2 linked regions of the Solanum lycopersicum genome follow. The protein of the gene in region 1 interacts with the protein of each later gene in a pairwise test. Links are inferred from orthologs where the notes say so. Each region holds a gene or a part of one and is shown on either strand. Other genes may lie near its edges.

Evidence for each region.
Region 2: the proteins of ETR1 (region 1) and green ripe-like 1 interact in binary tests that used the Arabidopsis thaliana proteins (3 or more experiments, as listed by UniProt). The link is inferred for Solanum lycopersicum from reciprocal best matches to the Arabidopsis thaliana genes ETR1 and RTE1.

Annotation. Positions count from the first base shown.
Region 1 is NC_090811.1:4,573,203-4,581,226, forward strand, and holds the start of ETR1 (ethylene receptor 1), read left to right. Parts: upstream 1-3,773; 5' UTR 3,774-3,861; coding exon 3,862-3,891; intron 3,892-6,653; exon of another isoform or gene 6,654-6,948; intron 6,949-7,872; coding exon 7,873-8,024. Other genes in the region: probable glutathione S-transferase parC, read right to left, coding at 1-111; glutathione S-transferase U25-like, read right to left, coding at 1,238-1,576, 2,104-2,424. UniProt on the Arabidopsis thaliana protein: Ethylene receptor related to bacterial two-component regulators. Acts as a redundant negative regulator of ethylene signaling.
Region 2 is NC_090807.1:54,634,425-54,642,454, reverse strand, and holds green ripe-like 1, read right to left. Parts: upstream 4,978-8,030; 5' UTR 4,890-4,977; intron 4,660-4,889; exon of another isoform or gene 3,878-4,659; intron 3,607-3,877; exon of another isoform or gene 2,367-3,606; 5' UTR 2,329-2,366; coding exon 2,020-2,328; intron 1,775-2,019; coding exon 1,352-1,774; 3' UTR 1,222-1,351; downstream 1-1,221. Other genes in the region: uncharacterized protein, read left to right, coding at 7,384-7,395. UniProt on the Arabidopsis thaliana protein: Acts at an early step in the ethylene signaling pathway. Positively regulates ETR1, leading to the negative regulation of ethylene responses.

The DNA of each region.
Region 1 (8,024 bases):
CAAATCTTCCTCTTTATATTCATATTGAATCCCTTTTTCATGTAATGCAATTCTTACCCTCATACCAAACATACTCACATAAGCACTCAAAAGAACAACTTCATTACTCATTTTTTGATATAATTAAAAGATATATACTAGATGAAATTAAAATATATATATGTGATGAACACTTAAATAGAAAATTATGTCTATAAATAGAGTTTGTTGATTGTACTATCAAGAATGACTACATATTTCTAGGAACTTCTCTTATAATCTAGAAATTTTTAAAATTTAATTTTACACATGTAAATTTTAAAAACAAATTTAATTGATCATTGTTATCTTAAAGAAATGAATCACTTTACTATAAATAGAAAATATGATTAGTCATAGGTTGGTGAGGCTTTTTAATTTAATTTATTTGTATTATCAAGAATGCCCCACATCTTTCTGGACCTTCTCTTTTTAAAATCTGGAGAATAAAAATAAAAATTGGATTGTCATTATCCTTATAGTTATATTATATTAATATATATGTGTTGTGTCATCAAAATCCTGAATAATAAGACAATTTGAATTAGTATTAAATAAGTCTAAATTAGTCTCTCAGATGGAGAGTCATTTTCATTTAAAAAACAGTTTACTCTACAATTATGTAAGATTTTTTAATATAAATTTAAATTCAATCAAATTTTAATATTAAATAATAATAATTAAAAAAAATAAAATATATATATATATATATATAAACGTAGAATTTAAATTTCTTAACCCGTACAATTTACACTATAATCATTACATCATAAAACTTCTTGAGTATGGTCACATATATATTAAGTAGTTTTAAAAATACTTTATATATATAGCACTATCGATACATTATAGAATTATTGCTAGGAATATGAGTACATAGGTGAACTCATGTTCCTTCGTATAGATACACTACTCTTAATACTTTATCATTTACGTGATTTCAACATTTAATCGTATCGACTAGTATTATTACAAGGAAGATGAATACATAGATAGTGAACTCATGTTCTTTCATATAAATACACTTTTTATCAATTAATATTCATATTTATCATTTACGTTACTTCAATATGCAAATGTATCGACTAATAAGGTAGACGTTAAATTATTAGACCCTCTCACAACTCATTATATGATCCCATCTCAAAATAAGTGATATGATATCCAATCATTAAAATATAAAATTCTGAATCCATCTCGATATTTATTAACCATGTGATCACCAACCTTTCTTGAAATCCAAATAAGCTTGGTAGACTTGATTTGAAGTAGGAAGTGACTTGGATACTGAGTCTCTATTCAAACACCTTTCTCCCCACATCACTAACTTGGGGCATTGTATTTCAATTGTGTTGAAATTTGCAAAGGTCTTGAAGACAATGAACCAATTGTAGAAAGGAACAAGTGCAATGTCTACAAATCCAAATACATCTCCTCCAAAATAAAGTTTATCTCCAAGTTCTTCTTCCAAAAACTTTGAACATTCTACAAGTTCTTTCTTGCCATTTTCTTGCTCTTCAATTTGCCCCATCCATACCTTTACACTTGACCCATGTACCTAAAATTAATGCTCTTTGTAGGGTTATTCCTTTTAATTTTTCTTAAACTTTATATCAAGTCAAAAAAATAAACAAATTAAAACAAAAAAAAAGTATTAATTTATATTATATCTTCTCTGTTTAAAAAAAGAATGACCTAATTTTATTTGAAACAGAATTTAAGAAAAAAAAAGATAATTTTTAATCTCGTGATTCTAACTTTAATTTAAGTCAAATATATCAAAATATTCTTTAATCTTATGGTCTTAAACATGTATGTGAAAAGTTAAAATATTATCAAAAAAAGGTTATAATCATTCTTTTTGAAACAAACTAAAAAGAAACTAAGTTCATTCCTTTTTAAATGAATGAAATAATATATATGCATTGAATGATTAAATTCTGCATAACTACGTATAACTGATTCTTAGATACTAATACATATGTAACTCTAACCACCAATAAAACAACCCTGAATCTATACAAGGTAATGAAATCACACAAACATATATGAAATGAATTAAGGAAGAGTTAAAAAGTCCTTTACCTTTTTATTGATAAAGTCAACCAAGAACCTAGCTTTAGCTCTTTGATAAGGTTCATAGGGCAATAAGGGAGAATTATTTTTCCAAATCTCATCAATATATTGAATAATGATATTTGATTCACAAATAGATTTACCCTTGTGAACAAGAACCGGTATTTTGTGATGAACCGGGTTCATTTCCAAAAGCAAAGGACTTTTATTAGACAAATCCTCAAACTTGTGGATGAAATTGACTCCCTTTTCAACTAGGGCAATTCTTGCCATTGTTCCAAAAGGACTAGCCCAATAATCTAAAAGTACAACTTCTTCTTCTTGTGTCATGTTTTTTTTTTTGTTGAAAAGTTAGGGATATTAGTAGACTTGTAAGAAGAAGAGGTAATTAAGAGTGTTGAGGGTTTTTGTGATTCTTTTTATGGTGTGGTAGAGTCATTAAGGAGATAATTAACAAGAAAGGGATAATTATGTAAATATTTGAATTTTTTATTAATCGAGTCTTTTTCTGTATGATTCTTTTTATGGTGTGGTATAGTCATTAAGGAGATAATTATCATTTGATTGAGACAAGAAAGGGATAATTATGTAAATATTTGAAGTTTTTACTAATTGAGCTTTTTTTTTGTGTGATTTTTTTTATGATGTGTTAGAGTCATTAAGGAGATATTTATCATTTGATTGAGACAAGAAATGAACAATTATGTAAATATTTGAATTTTTTACTAATTGAGTCTTTTTTTCCTTTTGTGTTAAAGACTAGTTAATTAGAGGATTATTGGTTTGTGGCTTAACCAAGATTTGAATCTTTATATATAATGGTGTATTTATTTAAATTGATAGCTGAGAACTTGTTTGATTTGAGTGTAATCTTACTTGTTAAAGATGTTGAAGAAACTATTAATGTAATATGGATTTATTTTTAAGCTATCGTTATATTCATATTTATTATATCATATCACCACTAATCACTTTTTATCATTACAATTATTATTATCATTGGTAACTATTTGTTATCATCATCAATAACTATTTTCATCATTACGATCATTATGTAAAACAATATTGAAACTACTCCTGCGACTCTTTTAAAGAGTTCGAATCCTATATTAACTAACAATTCTATGGACAAGGGATGATTTAGTTTTAATATGATTAGATCTCCTAAGTCATATATAACTTATACTTTATTGTTATATATAAATGTTGAAAGCTACATAGATAATACATCACTTCGTACTTTTTTTTGAATCAATATCATAGATTGTTAATTATTATTATCAATCGTTATTATATCTACCATCTTTATCATTATAATTATGTACCATTGTCACTATCAATAAGATCAGACATTATCTACCTCTATTATCACGTGTAATTAAATAAATTCGTAAAATATTAATCGAAGTCAATCAAAAAATAAGTTTTGTTAAACTTATAAATAATTTAATATAACTAGTATTGTCGATACCACATCTACAAGGTAACCTCTTTTTCCTTTTTAAAAAATAAAACATTTCCATGTGAAAAAAAGTTATTAAATTTTTAATGATATATTAAATTAGACATGAAAAATAATTCAATTATGTCTGCCATTGGAGTCCAATTCAGTCAACTTGACAAAAAAAAAACCCAACTGTTTGACCCGTGAAATTACAAATTGGGTCATTTCCTTTTCTAGCCAACTCCATTGTTTCACTTTCCCTTTTGATCATCATCAATCTTCATCACTTTTTTTCGCCCCAATTTTTTTTTTTTTTGGCCACGATGGGATCTCTTCTCCGGATGAATCGCCTTGTAAGTCTCATAAACCCTAACTAGTTTTTTTTAGTTTTTTTTGCTAATTTTGACTTTTAATTGCTGAAAAATAGTCTTATTGAAGTGTTTTTTTAGGTTTACTTGTTGTTAATTAGCTTCACTTGTGATAATGTATTTAAAGTTCGTGATGAATCGTTTTGAATGTTGAATTTCAGCTCATTTTTGTAGATTGTTTTGTTTATAATAACGATTGATTTTTGGTGATTAACTAGCTGAAATTGATTAATTTACAATAAACTAAACTGAATAAATTGAAGTTTCCAGGCAGTAACTGAGGTTTGGTTTTTCATGGAGCAAGGTTATTAGTTTTTGGATAGTGGGGTTTGGAATGATTAATGTATAAATGAACTGAAATTGCAACCAATTAATGATTTTTAGAGTTTATTTGCTTTTGTTGTGATGATGTCTTCATGATTATGATCATTCTTTTTTTGGAATATGTTCTTATGGGTTGAGTTTGTGGGATGAATGTAAAGTTCAACTCATTTGCGCATGTTCTTTTTATTTATCCCCGTAAGACTGATTTCGGTGTTTAACTAGCTCAGATTAGTTAGTCTACAACTACATGCCAAGTGTAATCCGACAAAATGGGATCTAGGGAAGTAAGAGTGTAAGCAGACCTTATCAGTTATCCCTACCTTACCACAAATGAGATTTGGGATAAGATGTGTATCCGTCATCTCTAGTGGTTCACTATCTGAGGAATAATTCATGGAAGAAGCCTATAGTAAACACATTCGCTAAACATATCTCAAGGTGGTATGAAAGAAGAAATAAATGAAGATTAAAGGCATGTGAGAGTGATAAAAACAAACCAAAAGTTGTTAATGGGGAAGAGTTCAAATTGAGAAATAATTTCATGTGTTAAGTATGCACAAGAAAAATATGTCACATGCGGTGAAAACTTTGCACTAACCGCATGTGCCACAGTTTTCCCAAGTTAAGAGAATCTAATACTAGTAAAATATAACTCAAACAAATTCAAACCATCAAAAAATGGGGAAGTGAACATTTAAACGAATAATATCGAGGATGTTACATACTAATAAAATGAGCATAATATTTGGATGATGAATAATATCTTTGAAGTGCTGAATAATGATTGTATGACTATCACTCTGGGGAAACAAATTATTCTGAAATGCTTTGTCACTGAAAGTGAATATGACGTCATTGAAATTTGGAGGATCTAAGTAGATTCATGCTTTCTTACATCATATGTTCTTTTCTATTGTAATGTTGGTTTCTATAGCATCATTATATTGCTCAAATTTATTTCACAGTTCTAACCACATAACCTATTTTCAGAATTTGTATTTGTTTTGTCCCACAAAATAATGAACATTAAGACCAAGCATGTGCATGTCATACGTTCGGTAACGTGTACATTTTGCCTTTTTTTTCCTTTTTAAAGAGGTCATGGGCTTCGTCATTATTAATACAAAATGGACAAAGACACGTGAATGATATGCTCTAGTAAATATGCTCCTCATTAACCATAGGCAGCTCTAGTAACAGTAGATGTTTAGAAGAAGGAACACATCAAACCAAGATATCAAGAAGAAAAAAGTGACCAAATCCGTCCCTAAATATTTTCTTTCTTTATTGTCTATATATGTATATATTTTATGACATCCAATAATAATAAATGTTAGCGTAGATGGTCAAGACCTCATAATTTATTTTTGATGAAGAGACCTCATAATTTATTTTGTGAACACGATTCATACGTTCTAGTGTATTTAGCCATTGGTTGATGCATAAGACAAAAATTCTTGTTGTTTGTCGTTCACCACATGTGAAAATCAAATTATAGATAATGAAAATCAGATTATAGATGACTATTGAACAGATGAAGAACTACAAAATAGATGTAAATATGATTCTTTTACTTATCCTCCGTAGATGCCATAAAAATCAAGTACTCAGTTCAAGTTTTTAAAATAAATCATTAGAAGTAGGAAAACATTAGCTAGACTTAACAGTTTAAATTTTTGCTTCTTCTTGAAGGACTTAGTGTGGGGCTTCCATCGTTTTTTGTGAGAAATCTCCTGAAAATGAAGGTGAAATTGGCATTGTTAATAATACCATGTTTAGGATAATGTAAGGTGGCAACTATTCATTGGGAGAAATTATTGTCAAAGCGGTTTCTTTTCTTCCGTTGGCTGCATTAGGTGTCTTTTGAAGTAGGTTATAGGTGTCTTTTGAAGTAGGTTATTTAGGTTAGGGATATTTAGGTAATAACTTTTAAGTTTTTGAGTTCATGCTTTCAGTATAATATAGATCGGTCTCTAACCATATTTTTACTTGTGATCAAGCCATAGATACCGGTAAGAAGAGAAATAGATGATAAAAATGATAATTATAATTTTTTTTTGTATAACAAGCTGTTCGTTTTCTATTTAATTCATAGAAAATATATGTTCTTGGGAGTCCCTGATGGTTAAATACAACAAGATTCACCATGACTGCTACTTTAGAGAAACACTTGAGTGAAAGCCTATAAAATTGCATCTGTAACTGGATACCTACATTGAAAACCATCGTTCACGCTTCGATTTTGATCATTTTGGACTAGCAGCACTATCCTTGTATACTAGACAGGCTACTGTGATCATATTCTCTCTGCTATGATCAATAATGGGCTCAGAAAGCAGCTCTAATATTAATTGCAATAAACTAAACTTGCAATCTATAGAGAGAAAAGGAAAAGTTCATTTAATTGGTAAAATTGTGTAAAGCTCTCAGTACAATAATTCAAAAGGGAGATGATACAAGAGAAAGGGATTAAGAGGCAACTCCATCAACTGAGTTTTGTTTACCCAATGATTGATTTCATGCCAGAATGAATCGAGGAAACAAGGATGTCTATAATGTCAACAATCCCTCCACTCCTGCAGGAAGGTGAAAGGAGAGAAACTGGGAGAGGAAGAAAAGAGGAACTTTACCACTCCTCTGTTCTAATCTATGTGAAGGTGTTTGACTGTGCTCGACGTTTAAGAATGAAAGGAAGACTTTTGAGACTTGTTGTTCAAAGTAAGCCATTGTTAAGGGTAAAATGTGAAATTTAAAGTTTAATTGTTACTAAATATAGAAATATGTCTCTTTTTGGGGCTTATTTTAAAGGAAAGAGTGTCACATTAATTGGGACAAAGGGATGCATTTTCTGTCCAAAATTAAGATGTATATACTTAGATGCAAGTGGCACCATAGATCTGGTACTACCAAAAGGTATCCAATTAATCCATGCTTGGCCTCCCATTACAATGCCTGTAAGAAATAATTGTTCTTTCCACCTCCACAACTAATTGTCGAACTATTATATCTATCTTTATTCCCTTAAATGTGAAACGAATTACACAGACTATTTGGCGCTACTTTTTTCCTAGATATATTGAAGACCTAGTTTCTTATATTTGTGGGAAGCATTTGGAATTTTCTATAAGAACTATATCATGTTCGAAAACATTCTTATAATTTTCGACAAGATTGCTGAAGGAGTGTCTTATCTTTTATGTATTCTTGACTAGAGGAGTTTAATAAAAAGAAAATAGAAAGGAACAAAGAAACGTACAAGTGTATAAAAGGAGTTGGGGCAAAGACATCAGAAACATTTAGACCTACGATTTCATCCTACATGTTATGGTTTTAGTTCGTTAGAGGTTTTAACATATTAAATCAGCAAAGTTGTGACATACATAAAGTGCATAACATAAAGATGAAATTCACAATTTGCTGATCTTTTGGTGCAAGGGAACTATTTTTTACACTATAAGTTAGCTGTTAATTTCAATATTGGCTTCTTCTACACCTTGTTGTTCTTGAGTATAATTCTATTTTCACAAACATATGTCAGAACTTATGCTGCAATTAAATATATTCAGGTTGTTTAACTCTTGTACAGCTTGTTATTCTTCTGAGGCATATTTCCTTCTCCTTATTTGCTAACTTGTGCTGCAGTTATCTTCCATCGTGGAGTCATGTAACTGCATCATTGACCCACAGTTGCCTGCTGACGACTTGCTAATGAAGTATCAGTACATTTCTGATTTTTTCATAGCACTTGCTTATTTCTCCATTCCAGTGGAGTTGATATACTTCGTTAAGAAGTC
Region 2 (8,030 bases), on another chromosome or scaffold:
GAATTATGCAGTTTCTATGTTTGCTATGGAGCGTAATTTTGTAAACTTTGCTATAACATACAAATATGAATATTTTATTTGCTATACCTATCTGAAAGTTGCCTTGATTAAAATATATATTAAAAATAAAATGTTATTTTTGGCCCCAAAAAAAAATAAAAATTCTTCTGCCTTTTCTTCTTTGCCAAAATGCCCACCCCGGCTTCCATTCTACCTCATTTTGTTTGTCGCCGGAAAACACGTAGTGGCCTCCGGCTAAAATCGCATACTCCAATAAGTTCTATCCTTTATTCTAATTCAATATTATAGTTGCCATTTTTTCCAATCTCATTTTTTTTTGAATAACAATCAATATTTGTTGATTTTTTCGCTTCTTCACTGTTGTAAGTTCTTTAGAATTTGAATCTTTTAGCGGTTTCAAAGAAAATAATTTCAGATTCATATTAGTCTTGTCAAAAAAAATAAAGTTTCGCCAAATTTATTTTTAACTCAAATTTGACTTTTATTTTTTTAATTTATGTTTTTCTGCGGCCATTTCAAAGCAATTGCTGAAAAAATAATTAAAAATGAAGGTTAAAGCAAAAGAAGAATTGAAGGATTAGAGAAAGAGAGCTGCAGTGAAGAAGAAGAAGGCTTTTCCATTTTATTTTTATTATTTTATTTTAAAACTTATCAAGTATATAAGAAAAATATGATTTTTAACTGCTATATACGCTCAAGGTGAGTGGAACACATTTTTTGCCCATATCTGCAATAAAAAATAATTTTTAAATAAAAAAACTGTTCGATAGATACAAATTCTAAGCTTAAAAGCCTTTATTTTAATGCGCTAAAATTCAAACTCCAGCCTCCAAGCCACCGATTTGCTTTATATAACTATTTTATGAATATTTTTTATTTGTCGAATCAAAAACTAAACTATTAAAGATCAAAAATCAATAAAATAATATCTTACTAATTTAGTGCATTTAAAAATTGAAAGCTAGACTAATAATACATTAAGTCGAATTAACTGATGGACGCCCCAAATTCCAAGTATCAGTGACGACAATTTATAACTAGTCGTGTTGTTTCAATGTGATTTTTGACTAGACACGCAGTTTAAAAATATAATTTTTTTTTTATAATGTTCCAAAACTAAGGTAAACTGTCACTCATTCTTTTTTCCAATGGATTAAAAAGAAAAATGTGTCATAAATTGAATCAAAGTGAATATCTATTAGGTAACTTGATATTGTCCAAATTCCACTACACTTGTGACTTTAGAGTGCAGAGTTATCAAAGTCTATGGGGTTCTTCACATATTAAGGATTAACAAATTTTAATCTTGTAGCAGTGTGATACAAGAAACCTAGGAATCCAACAGATTTTTGAGACAGTAAGTACCAAAAATAAACCATGCTAAAAGAAGAAGTGAGAAAGCCAATAATGCTACCATAAAAGGCCATCCCACCATGAAAATGCCAAAGCATACAACTAGCATAAAAGGTGAAAATGATCTCAAGATTGACATGTTGTCAACCCAATGTCCTTTGAACAATAAAAGAGCACCAACATTGATCATGTTCCAATCCATTGATCCTCCATAGCAGAGCCTGTTCAGGCAATTAGCAACAAAAGAATAGCTGTTGCAAGTGAATATATTGTACGATTTGTGCTCAAAATGACGAACGCTTGATTGGATGGCATCATCCCAAGTAATTGCAGACCCAAACTCTGTGTGTTTATAGCCATGCTTACATGTGTGTGCAGCAAGGTTTCGTGGAAAGCAGCACTGTCCAATAATTCACCATTCAGAAATTCTTGTCAATACTTTGTTGGTAAGATCAAATTGCCCTATTTCTTTATGTGGGGTAACTACTAACTAAGCATAGTGTTTCAGGTGGAATTGCTGGAAGTTATATGTGAATATAAATAGTAGGGGCGATGCGTTAAGGAAGATGGGGGGAGAGGTTAGTGAGTGACATAATGCTACAACAAACAATTGAAAGGCTAAGAGCATGCTACAGTAAATTGTACCTGTTTTCTGTCTAGTTGAAGGTATTTGGCCACAGAACCTAATGCAAAATCATCAATGTTAATAAAGTTGGAACCAGAAAAGGCCACGGCAGAACCGTCCTCTCTGCATATTCCTACATGTCCAATGAAAGGTGCCAACCATGAGACTACTGGTAGAGGAGTCCAAACTAAACAACAGGGGAACTTAGCATTCTCTCCATTTATTTCATCAAGAGGCCAAAATTCATGCTGAATATCTTGGACTGCTCTTATGCTCTCCATCTTGTAGGCAGGTTCCAAATCCATTAAAGAACGTCTTCCTGATGGCATATGGCGACATGAAATTTTGCAGTCATGAAAAAAGGTTTCTGTGAAAAGAAAAGGAGTAAAACAAACTATCAGTGAAAGCAGCTATAAAAACATTAGGTGCCAATTGCACTATGCTTTATACAACTGCACTATTTGATCCGCCGATGTAGCATAATTGCATAAACATCCATGACTACTGATTGTTAAAAAAGCTTGAAAAATGATTTTAGCCATTACAAAATTAATAAGACATTTCATTGGATGCAACTAAAATTCAACAATTCCAGAAATGCAGAAATTCTCTTGGATATCCATATAAAAAGGTGGTAACTGATCCCATTTATGCAAGCATACAGTTCAGGAAAACTTCTATCACAGCTTAAAATATTTAACTCTCTTTCTATTGTTTTGAATGCATAATTTGAATGCCCCAACTTAACATGGACTGTTAACAATGAATATATCTTCATTATGATCTACATCTCTACTACGACATAAGTTTTATGTCAGTTGTGTTTCTTCCATAGTATTTCTTTGCTCTCATATGTTGTATTTTGGTGATTCTTGTCAATAACTAAGATTTTCTGGAACTGTGAATTGTTTCACAACTTCAATGGAATGGTGATTCTAAACCTGCACTTATAGGTTTTGTTTTCTGGATGGTAAAGATGCTATCTCTTTTTTTTTTTTTTCTTTTGATGAGGTTAAGGTTTAGTGACTTAAGTACCAAGAAGGTACCAAAACCAAAAGTTACAAAAAACTGCTAGGGATATCCATACAGTCAATTACAACGAAAGAAGCTAAAACTTATGCTTTGTGTTTCGATCAGACTGGATGATTTCACATTATTATTTCTTCACTGATAGTCAAAATGTAGTTGTATTACTAACACAGCATCCAGAAAGTGCCTATATAGTTACAAATTACTTGAAGGTAGAGAGGCTGTTTCATATAGACTCTCGGCTCAAAGAAAGATGCAAAAGAAAGAAGCAGGAACAAACTAAAAAAACAATAAGATGATACAATGATCAAGGCTATAGAAACAAGCGGTAGTAACAAATAAATCTAAAAACACAAAAAACAGGAATAATACTAATGTACGGGATGGTGCTTTATGTATAGATCCGTAAATATCTGGACAACCTACTGCTGCATTTTCATGTGTTACCCAATTGTGGTGAATGGAAGCTGGTCCTGAGCACGTACAGTGGATAATGTTGGGCACAGTAAAGGACCTGTTAGACAGATGACCTTAGAAGAAAGCAAGAATACATAGGACACGAGAGATAGCCTATGTAGCCCTTATATGGATCCTTTGGAAGGAGAGCATGGAAGAGTTCATGATAAGTTTATATATTTGAAGAATAACCTCCTGTTTTTGGTTAATCTCTCTGACAGTTTGTTGGTTTCTCTACTTTTTGGTGTATTACTTCTACACGGAAGTTTACCCACATTAACAAGATTATTACTTCATCACAACATTTTTTTGTAAGTGGAATTAATAAGATGTTCTTCTTTGGGATAATCTTAGTAGCTCAGTAAGTTGGATAGTGAGGGTTCAATTCTCCACCTTGTTATCTCCTTCCTCTATCCCCAACTTCTTTTTTTTTTTTAAAAAGATGTTCTGCATTATCTTCAACGGATTCTACACTAATGTAACTTCCTTAAAGCTTTTTGTGGACACCTTGACAAGTTGCTATACCAGGACCTGATAAAATGTATTACGGCACCCATCAATTCAAGCAACAAGTGATAAGGGAATCATTAACTTCATAGTGGTTAAGACTTGCATTGCATTTCCTCCCAAAAACTCACTCATTTGCAGTCTATCTTACTAAATAACAACAACATACCAAGTGTTCCCACAGATTGAAGTTCGGGGGAGAGTAGAGTGTACCATACCTTAATCTACCTCAGCCAAGATGTTGTTTCCAGTAGACCCTCGCTCAAGACATAAACAAACTAGAAATAGACACAATAAAAGTACAAAAGACAATAGGTAGTAACAAACAACAGATAGTAAGAGGGCAATATTACAACTAAATAACACTACAATCAAACTACACATATCTTACTAAATTACAATTTTGTTTTTTTACCGAATTCATTTAAAGTTGATCATCAATTGAGTTAAAAGAATTGAAAAGCTTTACTTGTTTGCCATCTTCCTCTATCAATCAAGACAACACATACATTCTCCAAGATGAAATCAAAACTGCTTTTGGAATTTCCTCTATCAACCAAGACAACACATACATTCTCCAAGATGAAATCAAAACTGCTTTTGAATTTCAAATCACCAACAACATTGTTAAACAAGTTGCACAGAACCCTATCTAGCTCAAGGATAATCTGAAAAAACCAAAACCAAAAAAAAAGTTTTTCTATTGCTTCTAACTTCAAAGAATCTAGTGACATCAACTACATTAATGAAAAAAATCTAAAGAGCTCACAAGTCTATATATGGCAATTAACAATCAAAACCTTAAAACCCCTTTGTCTTACTTACTCAAAAAATGAAATCTTCATGGATTCTAAAATAACTAAATTTCAAGAATTAATGAACAAGAAGAAAATGGTACCTTCAAAATGAAGCAAAGAAATCAAAGTGATGAAAACAGTTTTTGCTTAGCCCTTTTCTTTGATTGATGAAGCACACAAGAAAGCAATGGGGGTAAGTGTCGAACATACATATAAAAATATTTACTTTTTCACATTTTCCATTATACTATTCAAACATTATTATTATTATTGGTTATTATTTATCGACTAATTTTATTTTATTTTGAAAATGAGGGAAAGATAGAATTTGGGTTAGATGCATGAACTGGGGCCCACCCTAGACATTACAAAGAAAAGCCTCATGTGGTTCCCACTTTATCTGTTTTATTTTGAGTTGTTATATAAACAAAATTAAAAGCTCCATTTAGATGAATTATTTATTATCCTAGCCTATCTACTTTGACATTCTATGTATTTAGACCAATATTTTAAAAAGACCATGTTTTTATACCTATTTTGAAAATGCCAATTTTTTTAATAACATAAATACAACTATTCGTTTGACCAGCACCAGTTCGGTCACAAGACAATTAAAAGAATCGCTCAAAACTTTTGGAGACAATTCTTTAGATGTTACTAGCGTGATTATAAATCTATTTTAAATTTAGTGAAATAAGTTTTACAAAATCCTACAAAAGTAAGATGTTATTTTTGACTTTTTTAGAGCAAAAAGTTTTTCACGTGAAATACTTTTTGAGTTTATAACTATGATAGGATAAAATTGTACTCACCATTAGTGCTTAAATTTAGAAAAAAAATAATATTTAGGGCTTGTTTAGTTATGTGATATGAAATCATGAAATGAAATTAAAGTTTTGTATGGATATACAATATGAAATTTTTCTGTTGTATATTTTCTCATAAACATAAGAATTTCATAAGATGTAACACTATTAAAATAGTCCCAATTGTTTATTCATTCTTACAAAATAATTTTTTTTATAAAATTGCATAATAAATTACTATAAAGTTATTTGTTCTCCACTTAAATAATTGTTTCATCTAACTTTCATTGATCAGACTTTAATTCAATTAAAAAAATTGAACATGAATTGTAGTGTATTAGTTTTAAATATATATTCCCCTATATAGTATGAACAATCTCCTCATGTTGAACTTGCATTTCTTGATCATATGACCGAGAAGACGAATCAACATTGTTAGTTGAGTCATTTATTGGTCAATATCATTCGCAACTATATTTTCGTACTCATAGACCATAAATATTTCATTGCTACTTTGGTATTCTTGCAAATAATTATGTAGCACTATGCAAGTTATGACAATTTTTACTTGTGTGTCTGTTGACACCCAATTTTGACCGACCTTTAACCATTTTTAGGATTATATTCGACTAAATACGTATTTTAAAATTTACTTAAAGTTTGAAAGTTTTAGTTGATTTTTCTCAAAAATTATATATTTTAGTATCATTTACTTTATAAAATTATTGTAAATAGTATTTCAAATGTTTTAAAATTTAGATGATTTTCAATTATACAAAAAAAATATTTTAATGTATGTAGTATTTTAATAAATATTATTTAAATTCTAGCCTATTCTATTCTAATTTCTTCCAATTCTAGCCAATTCCAATTAAGTTTTTTATTACAATCATAGTCACTCTTTCATTTCAATTCTAGCCACTTTAATTGCAATTTTAGCCATTCTATATCTTTGCCAATCTAATTTCAAAACTTCATCTTTTGATCTTATCCGTCCATCTTAAAAAATAAATCCTAGATCGAATCCTAATCCTTCATCTCTTATTAATCTCATGGTTGTGATTAAATCTTTATTTTTCACAACACCAAAAGACCCCCAAAAAAAACCCTAAAACATTTTTCTCTCCTTCTCTTCCCCCCCTCCTTGGCAGCCGCTTCTCTCTTTTCCCCCATTCTTGCCGGCGAGATCCTCCATCGTCGTTGAAGCCAGCAGCCGCTGGCAGCTATTGCATCTCCCCTTTGTTCTTCCTCCTCTTCTCCCTCCTTCTTCTCTGTCTCCTTTCTCCCGTCGCCCAACCTCCTCCTTCCCTTCTCCCTTTCGTTCTCTCCATTTTGCTGGCGAAAACAGCAGAACCAGGCACCAGCAGTGCGCGTAGCAGCAACGCTTGGAGAGCCGCAGACAGGAGTAGCAGGCCAAGACCAGCAGCCCCATCGGCGGAGAAGACGCCAGCCAACAACTCCGACGCCAGCCAACAACTCCGACTCCAGCGCCACCAGCAGCAGCGACAACAGCTCCAAACACAGCCGCTTCCCCTCTCTTCTCGCCTTTCTCCGACCAGCAGCCCCAGCGCCCCCTCTCTTCCTCCTCTCATCCGCTTCTTCCATCTCCTCCCGGCGAGAAGCGACCATTGGTGAAGCCTCCAGCGAAACCAGCAACCTAGCGAGGAGAGCAGCAAGCAGTCACGGGCGAAAATCCAGCAGTTGCGATCATCGGTGGGAGCAAGCAGCAGCTCCGGCCAGCGTGAACAGCAACCAGAAACAACGAGATTTGGCGTTGTTCAAAGGTCTCATGTTCGTGAAGGTTAGTTCTTGTTTAAACTTGTTTCATCCTTTAATAAATTTGTTAATTTGACCACTAGAACTTAGGATTTATTTTTTCATGTTTGCTTCTATGTGGGTTTACTGGTAGCTTTCAAATTCTTGCATACTTGATTATACTATGAATTAGTAGTTTCTTGTTCTTAATCTGTTCATGAGATATTAGAAATTTCTCTTACTCTCTTCCCTTCTTGAGTCTGATTCGGTGGAGATATTAATTGGCTCCAAACCGAGTATTTCTTTTTGGCTTTCTTACTTTTTAAATTAATCTTGGAGTTATTGATTATTATATCATTTGACTTACTAATGTTGCTCTGTTGACATTTATCGTTGGTGTAAATAACTATAGATTGCTTATATGACGGATTAATACATATTTTTCATGTAATACTGTTATCTCACTGTTTCTCCTCCCTCTTACTTGCTTGATTGATATCGATTTAGTGGTACTAAGATGATTTTGTTGCCTGTACGAATCCTAGAAGATTTTATGGTAAGGTGATTTTTGCTTATTAATGTTTGGTAATTGATTGTAGATGCCTTAATTAAGGCTGATTTGATGCTTACTGATATATATTCAAGTAAATTTATATTTGGCTGATCTTGAAACATTTGTTA